Linked DNA regions of Macaca mulatta. The protein of the gene in region 1 purifies or fractionates together with the protein of each later gene. This does not show direct contact. Links are inferred from orthologs where the notes say so. Each region holds a gene or a part of one and is shown in the gene's direction. Other genes may lie near its edges. The genes, in order: WDR62 and MAPK8.

Region 1 (3,811 bases):
TCTCAGGAGGTCTCCCGTGACTGGTGGTGTTCACTGGGAGCATTTGGCCAAGGTGTTGCCTTCCAGATTCCTCCACTTCAAAGCCTCTCTCTTCACCTTTGTGATTAGCAAGTATCCTGGGGAAATCTTTTCTGAGACTGTGCAAATATTATCCTGTTCCTCACCAAAGTTTCACTCAACTTATCTTAGACTTTGACACTTTTCAGATGCTCCCCAGGGAATTATAATGTACAGCCAAGACTGAGAACTACTGGCTTAGAGGTCAGGGCTCTGTCCTTTCTGGTTAGTTAACCGTAGCATGGGACTTCCCTGTGTTGCAGTCACCTCATCTGCAAAGTTGGTTCATGAGAGCCCTGACTCCATGAAGCATGTGTGAGGAATCAGTGCAGTGATGGCCACACAGCATTTGCTAGAGGGCCAGGCACAAGGTCGGGGCATGCGACAGGTTAGAGGTGGCTACAGACAACAGAAACCCCTCCACGGCGTAGCTTAAAACCCAAGGGCATGCTCCTCCTGCACATCTTAAGTCCGGAGGTGGGCAGCCCAGGGGCTGTGTCTCTGAACACCAGGGACCCCACTTTTTTTTTCTCTCTTTTTTTGAGATGGAGTCTCGTTCTGTCACCCAGGCTGGAGTGCAGTGGCGCCATCTCAGCTCACTGCAAGCTCCGCCTCCCGGGTTCACGCCATTCTCCCGCCTCAGCCTCCCGAGTAGCTGGGACTACAGGTGCCTGTTACCTCTCCCGGCTAATTTTGTTTTTGTATTTTTAGTAGAGACAGGGTTTCACCATGTTAGCCAGGGTGGTCTTAATCTCCTGACCTCATCATCCACCCGCCTCGGCCTCCCAAAGTGTTGGGATTACAGGCATGAGCCACCGCACCCTGCCCCACTTCTTTTTTTTTTCCAAGACGGAGTCTTGCTGTGTTGCCCAGACTGGAGTGCAGTGGTGCGATCTTGGCTTACTGCAACCTCCGCCTCCCGGGTTCAAACGATTCTTCTGCCTCAGCCTCCCGAGTAGCTGGGATTACAGGCGCCCAACGCCACACCTGGCTATTTTTTGTTTGTTTGTTTGTTTGTTTGTTTTTTGAGATGGAGTCTCGCTGTCTCTCCCAGTGTGGAGTGCAGTGGCGTGATCTCTGCTCACTGCAAGCTCCACTTCCAGGGTTCAGCCATTCTCCTGCCTCAGCCTCCCGAGTAGCTGGGACTGTAGGCACCCACCACCAAGCCCAGCTAATTTTTTTGTACTTTTTAGTAGAGACAGGGTTTCACCGTGTTAGCCAGGATGGTCTCGATCTCCTGAACTTGTGATCTGCCCGCCTTGGCCTCCCAAAGTGCTGGGATCACAGGCCTGAGCCACCATGCCCGGCCTATTTTTTTGTATTTTTAGTAGAGATGGGGTTTCATCATGTTGGCCAGGCTGATCGTGAACTCCTGACCTCAAGTGAACCTCCCACCTCTGTCTCTGAAAGTGCTGGGATTACAGGCATGAGGCACCGCACCCAGCCTCCATTCCTCTCTCCTTCTGTTCCACCCCATTTATTGTGAGGCTTCTGGTCTTGAAGTCACTTTATGGCCCAAGATGGAGTTCTGGCTGTTCTGTGCTTATTTCAGGAGGGGAACTGGTGGGAAGCGGGGCACACATCATGTCAGTTTACTTCTCCTTGGCCAGACTGAGTCATGTAGCTGTACCTGCATAGCTGCAAGCATGAAACTGGGATTATGTCAGTGAGGAAAGAGAGACAAGTGGATATCCAGGACGCAATTTGCCCTGTTTGCTGCTGTAAGGAACCACGGGAAGCCTGGGAAGCAGGTTGACTTGATGAATATTCCATGAAGTTGCCAAAGTCTCACTTAGTGACATTTACTTAGTTATCTGCACGCCAATTTACCATCTCACGTAGGGAGACAATTATTGTTAAGGAACAAAGGTAAAAACAAGATTAAAAGAGAGCGGGGAGAAGAAGGAAACCATACAATCTCAGAATGGTGAATCTTGCTGCCAGAAACCTGTCAGCTAGCCTGTTCATTCAAGTCCTTGTGCAGGCTAGCTAGGAGTATCAGAAACATTTTGGCTGTTTATGGATTTTCCAGAATATCTTGAGTATTTATCAGTGGAGCACATGCTGCAGGCTACCTTGATGTGATGTCTGCCAGGATCCTCCCATCAGCACCACCCCTTTAGTTAGGCCAGGCCTGTACCATTTCCTGCATCTCTATTTCTCAGTGTTATAGGGTGGGTGGGGTCTTAGGGTAGCCACTGCGGCAGAGAGAGAAGAAAGCAGGGTCCCCATACAATGTCTGCCCCATTTGGGTTTGGTATCTCAGGGTCGAAGGGGCTTTGCATTTACCCCCATTTCTCTGTGTGCTGTGCTGGGCACGCCAGCAGTACTGGCTCTGTGGGAGCTGCTTGAGCTCACCTCCCCTGGCCTCTTCTGAGGCTTGGGAGGCAGGAGAGGGCAGAGTCCTATCAGAGCCGCCAGGATGGGGTCTGACTGGCCACCCTTAGCGGAACCAGTGATCAGCTCTTTTCTTTATCCCCAGGAAGTCTCTGAGTGCTCTGGCCTTCTCCCCTGATGGGAAGTACATAGTGACAGGGGAGGTGAGTCATGATCACGATTGAGTGGGAGTGGGGGTTGGGGGGCCTCAGGAGCCATTCCTTATGCTCCCAGCAGGCCTGGGAGTCCCTGGAATAGCTCCTTCCTGGGCCAGAACAGCCCCGTAGCAGATGGGGGAGATGGCTTTTGGGCACACCCTATGGCAATGCAATCTTCAGCCTTGACAACCCCTCTAGCCCTGCCTGGTACAGAGCCCAGCAGCAGTAATGACCCCACCTTCCCTAGAATGGGCATAGGCCTGCTGTGCGCATCTGGGATGTGGAGGAGAAGAATCAGGTGGCGGAGATGCTAGGCCACAAGTATGGTGTGGCCTGTGTGGCCTTCTCACCCAATATGAAGCACATCGTGTCCATGGGCTACCAACATGACATGGTGCTCAACGTCTGGGACTGGAAGGTAAGACCAGCGGGCCTGTGGCAGGCAGCCAGCTGCCAGAGCATCCTGTGTCTTGGGCACTGGGAGAGCTACATGAGAGGACGCAGTAAAGTGCTCACTCACCCAACACATGACAGCTATTGAGCACCTGCGACATGCTGATCCCTTACTGTAAGGCACAAGATAGGTGCCCAGCTGGAAGAATTATAAATATTTTTATAATGACCAGCTGTGACCTTAGCCAAGTGACTTAACATCTCTGTGAGTCTGTTTCCTCCTCTGTTAGATGGATATAGTGCTACTTATCTTGTTGAGTTGTAAGACTTTAATGAGTTGATAAGCACTGGAAGACTGGGCTTTGGAACAGCTGTGGAGCTGGCAGAAGTGGGTACCAAGTCCTGGCTCTGCCCATAACCCACTATGTGACCTTGAGCACATGACATCTTCCCCTCTGAGCCTAGGAGGGTTGGGGAGAGGCGCCTCCCTCATGGGGCTATTGAGGGAATTTCATGGGTTATCCTGTGAAGGGCTCAGGGCAGGGCCCAGAGCAGGAGCACCATCCGTGACAGCCATAGGTTGTGTTGTCCTTACATCCCAGCCATGACTGTCCCCAATACCATGTGTGGGCTGCAGAGCTTAGACCCTTGGGAGAGCTCTGGAACATACTCTCCTGGGGGGACCATTCCAAGCCTCTGTCCCCTCCTCTGTGGTGAGGAATGAGCAGGTTGCCCCACATAAGTTTCCCCATACAGCAGCTCCCTGGAGGGTCCCAGGAAGACAGACTTGGAGTGGGGACGAGCAGGGAGGCCCAGGCAGTCCAGTG
Region 2 (4,284 bases), on another chromosome or scaffold:
AGTTAGTTTCATAATATTATGTATCCTTAACAATTTGTATTATAATACAGTGATAATTTTGCATTTACTGTTATTACTTTCATAGTACAGTGATTAAATCTGTAAACTCTATTGTACTGCTAGGCACTGAATGGGCCTGCAATAAATAATTATTGCAGGAATAAAGGATGGAAGGAAGGAAATTAAGAAGGTTGAGAGGGAGGAAAAGAGGAAATGGGAAGAGAATGAATGAATAATCACCTGTATGTTCGCTTTTAGAATCACCAGAAAGAGGCCAGCCCCACATGTAATAGGAAAGTAGTCTACCTGAAATCATTCATTCATTCAACAAATATTTATATATTCTTTATTAAAGTAACTTACTTGTTTCCGATTGTGAACATAACTATTCCTCTTGGAAAACATGAGAAAATACCCAAAGTATAAAAGAGAACCAAGTCACCCTTTATTCCATAGTCCAATGACGAACCATTGCTAACATAATTTGGTGTATTTCTTTCCAGGTTTTTTCTATGTGTATATATAGTAACTAAGTGGGATCGTTCTATATATAAGACTTGTTTCTTGCTTCTTTCTCTTAATGATATATTGTTAACATTTTCCTGTGTTGTTAAGAATTCCTTGAACACATGGCGTTTAAATTGCTAAAATGTATTCTACTGCATGGATGTAGGTAACTTAAACGCCTTTCCACCTGTTGTTGGATATTTAAAGGCTTGTCAATTTATCGCTTCTGTAACATTTACACGTTTTGTGGGGCCTCAGAGGTAAACCAGGTAATGCAAGGAATCTGGGAAGAGGTGGATTTGCAAGGAATCTCGGAGGAAGTGGATTTTGGAAAAACTGGAGGAAGCTTTACCGGGGCAGCTGAAGAGAACACTTATCTCTCTGTAGGTTGCTGGGATCCGGACAGGTGTCCTCAGCATGGAACGTACTGTCGGTCAAGGTAACCAGCTCTTCATCACTCAGGTGTGTACCAGGAAGGGGTGTCTGTTCGCTGCGCAAGTTTGGCCTAAGCTCACCTGCCCTTCAAACCCTGTGGTGACGAGGCCCGAAGCCTTAAGCTCCGACCTGGCTACCGCCGCCAACCAGATGCAGTCCCCTGGGGCCACGCGCCGCCACGTGCCACCACAGGGCCCGCCCCTCCCGCTCCTGGCCACGCCCCTCACCCACTGCCCTCGGAGGCTCTCTCCGCGGCTCCGCCTCCAGGCGACCTCCGCAAGTTCTCTCAGCCCCGTGGAGTAGCCCCGCCCCCGGCCAGCGGCCCCGCCCCCGCAATCCGGGCCCCGGGGCTGCCCCGCCCCGCAGGCCACTCGGGAGGCGCGGGGGCGGCGCCCTGCGCGATGACGTGGGCGGGCGTGCGCGGTGACGGCCCGCGTCCCTGTTACTCAGCGGAGCGGCCGAGGCTGGACGACGCGGCTAGGATCGCGGAGCGGCGAGCAGACCTGGGTAACGGCCGCGGCGACCGCTCGGACCGCCCCTGTCCCCGCTGGCGGGCTTCCCTGTCGCCGTTCGCTGCGCTGCCGGGTGAGTGCGGCGGATGCCGCAGGGCCTGGGCGGCAGGCGGCCCCGTCGTGTTTATGTTATTGTGCCGCTGCCGCCGCCTTCTCCTCAGCCGTAACCCCCTCCCGGGAGTGGGGGCGGGAGCGCGCGGCGGGCGGGGGCGGCGCGGGAACAATAGCGGCGCAGAGGCGGGGGCCGGCCAAGGGGGCGTGGGGCTGCGGGACCTGGGCGCGCTCTGCTACCCGCCAGCCCGCCCGCCGCGGCGAGCCCCGCCCGCCTGTCCTCTCGCGTCCTCTTCGCGCGGGTCCTGCCTCCGCGGCGGGAGAAGAAAATAGCGGGGGGGTGGGTGGCAAGTTCTGAAACACTTCGGCAAGGGTCGGACAGAGGCGTCTCCGCGGCCCGCCGCACCCTGGCTGCCTCCGGGGCGGCGAGGAGCCGGGAAGAGGGCTTCTACCAGCGGGTCCCCAAGCCTGCCCCGCGCCCATGGGGACCGTATTTTGCTTCTCGGTGGTTTCTTTGTGCTCAGGTTCTGGGCGAAGGCAGGCAGCAGCGCTGAAAAGGGCCGGGATGGCCTGCAGCTCTGGGCTGCGAGGCACAGCCCAGGCCCGTGGTTCGGGTGGGAGGTGTCCATCCAGCTTGGCCCGAGCTTCGGTGGTCAGCGCACATTTCTCTTGAGGGTCACTCGGTGGTGACCTTTTGACTTTTTCACCCCACCCTCCCATCTCTTTGTCTCACATTTGTGTTCCGGATTCAGAGATGGTAGAACCAAGTCCATTTTAAAGTACCCTGATGAACACTTTCCGTTTTTATTTCTGAAAGTTCCCCGCCTGGTCTTTATTGCGAATTTAATAACATGTTAACTACATGGCATTGTCCAGTGATTACCGTTTTTACCTCTGAAATTCAGCGATCTGTCCAGTAGAATTCTGGTCCGTCAGTCCATTGTGTTTTGAGATAGGCATCCAGCAAATACCTCTTTGGCAATTAGAACATGTTTTTTCATTCATTCATTCATTCAACAACTGTTCGGTACCGTACCCAGATGAAGAGGTTTGGTTTGAAGGTAAAGGAAGGTATCCTTTCATGGAAGAGGATGCTTTGACTGAAGTATAATAGATGGACCTTTAAATGAGAGAATTACATAAGAGATGTCTGTTAAGGAAGGTATGGTTATGTTCTGGGTCATTTTTTAAGCAGTATATCTGGAAGTTCAAGTGTAATGTTAGGAAGTAGAATTAGATTTGGTCTAAATATACAACAGCTTTTGTTTATTTCTAAATTTTATTTTTTCCAGTCTTGCAGCCTTACAGTCATTTGTAATGGTTACCTCAGATTCCCCTGCTGTGGTTAACGTTAAACCTAGGAGGTCAGATGCTCTAAGTGAACATGTTTAGTGCTGTGCCTGACAAAAGCAAGCAATCAAAATGGGACTTCCTTGAGGGCAGGCCTGTCTTGCATCTGTTTCTCCACCACCTAGCCTGGAATATAGTAAGTGTTCAATAAAAGTCGGATTGATGAAAAGCTCTTTGTAATTGATAATATTTAAATTCAAGCCTTAAAAAAAACTGTAATGTTCTCCATAAAGTTTTGGAAGCTTCATGCAACTGTCGCTTCAGATGGCTAAATGATCAGTTCATGTACATTATCTGTTATGATGACATGGGCTTTTGAATCACGTGTAGGTCATTCACTGTCCTAAAATAAAATCTTGTCTAAATGTTTTTTTAATATGATTAATAAACTAAAGTAGGTTGTGGGGTGTGTGTTTCTGTGTATGTACTAGTTTATGTGTGTCTGTGTGTGTATGTACGTAATGCACACACAGGCACACATAAACTGGTATTTCAGTAGGGGTCTAAAATGATTGCATTTATAATTTTGTGAATATTATTTGAAAGGTTTTTGGTGACTCATTTTGTGAAAAATTGAGGACAAAGCCACATAAATGTTTTATTAGAAATATTTCTAATATTTTGGAAATGTTTACTTGAAATGTTTGGTTTTAAGTTCTAACTTGTGTTAACACATTGGTACAAAATATGATCCTAAAACTCAAAATAATTCATTTATCCAAGTTAAAGCTCTTTTCCACTCCCTGAACAGTTTAGCGTTTGTTTTGGATTTGAAAGAATACGAAAAGAGTGAACTAATTAATGAGCTTCTTATTATTTGGTGTAAAGTGGAAATGAAGAAATAAGAAAATGATACTTTTTTAAGATGAGGGATGAAAACCTTTGAGATACCAACGTTTTATTGCTTTACCTAGTTAAGGTATGTCAGCTTCTAGTAGGGGTTACTGACAATCCTTTGGCAGTAGCTCACAGTCAGCCTATGTAAAGAACCAGAGTTGTGTTATTTTGTTTTCCAAATTATTGGTTTTTAAAAATAGCTTTATTGAAATTTAATTGACATGAAATTCACCTGTTAGAGTGTATATATTTCAGTGGTTTTTAGTATATTCACAATGTTGTGCATTGATCACCATCACCAATTCCAGAACATTGTCATCACCCCAAGAAGAAACACCATATTCATTAGCAGTCACTCTGAATTTCACTTCAAATTATGCTTTAAAGTAAGAGATATAGCATCGATTCTGTTAGTAAATATATTCCTTTAATAAGTATGAAAAGGGCTCCTTTTAAGTGTCCTGTCCTGGCAGAATAGGAAACTATATCCTTCACACTCCTTTAGATCGGGGGAAATGCCATTTGGAAAGGAAGTTAGTGCAAGAATACATTGTACACAAATTAATGTGGTTAGAATCTTAAGTATTTGCTA

Evidence for each region.
Region 2: the proteins of WDR62 (region 1) and MAPK8 purify together in Homo sapiens (affinity purification with mass spectrometry; 5 studies listed by BioGRID and IntAct, counting the BioPlex papers as one, with this or other methods). This does not show direct contact. The link is inferred for Macaca mulatta from reciprocal best matches to the Homo sapiens genes WDR62 and MAPK8.

The regions. Positions count from the first base shown.
Region 1 is NC_133424.1:47,322,571-47,326,381, forward strand, and holds part of WDR62 (WD repeat-containing protein 62), read left to right. Parts: intron 1-2,539; coding exon 2,540-2,597; intron 2,598-2,838; coding exon 2,839-3,009; intron 3,010-3,811. UniProt on the Homo sapiens protein: Required for cerebral cortical development. Plays a role in neuronal proliferation and migration.
Region 2 is NC_133414.1:60,852,931-60,857,214, reverse strand, and holds the start of MAPK8 (mitogen-activated protein kinase 8), read left to right. Parts: upstream 1-1,383; 5' UTR 1,384-1,527; intron 1,528-2,797; exon of another isoform or gene 2,798-2,991; intron 2,992-4,284. UniProt on the Homo sapiens protein: Serine/threonine-protein kinase involved in various processes such as cell proliferation, differentiation, migration, transformation and programmed cell death.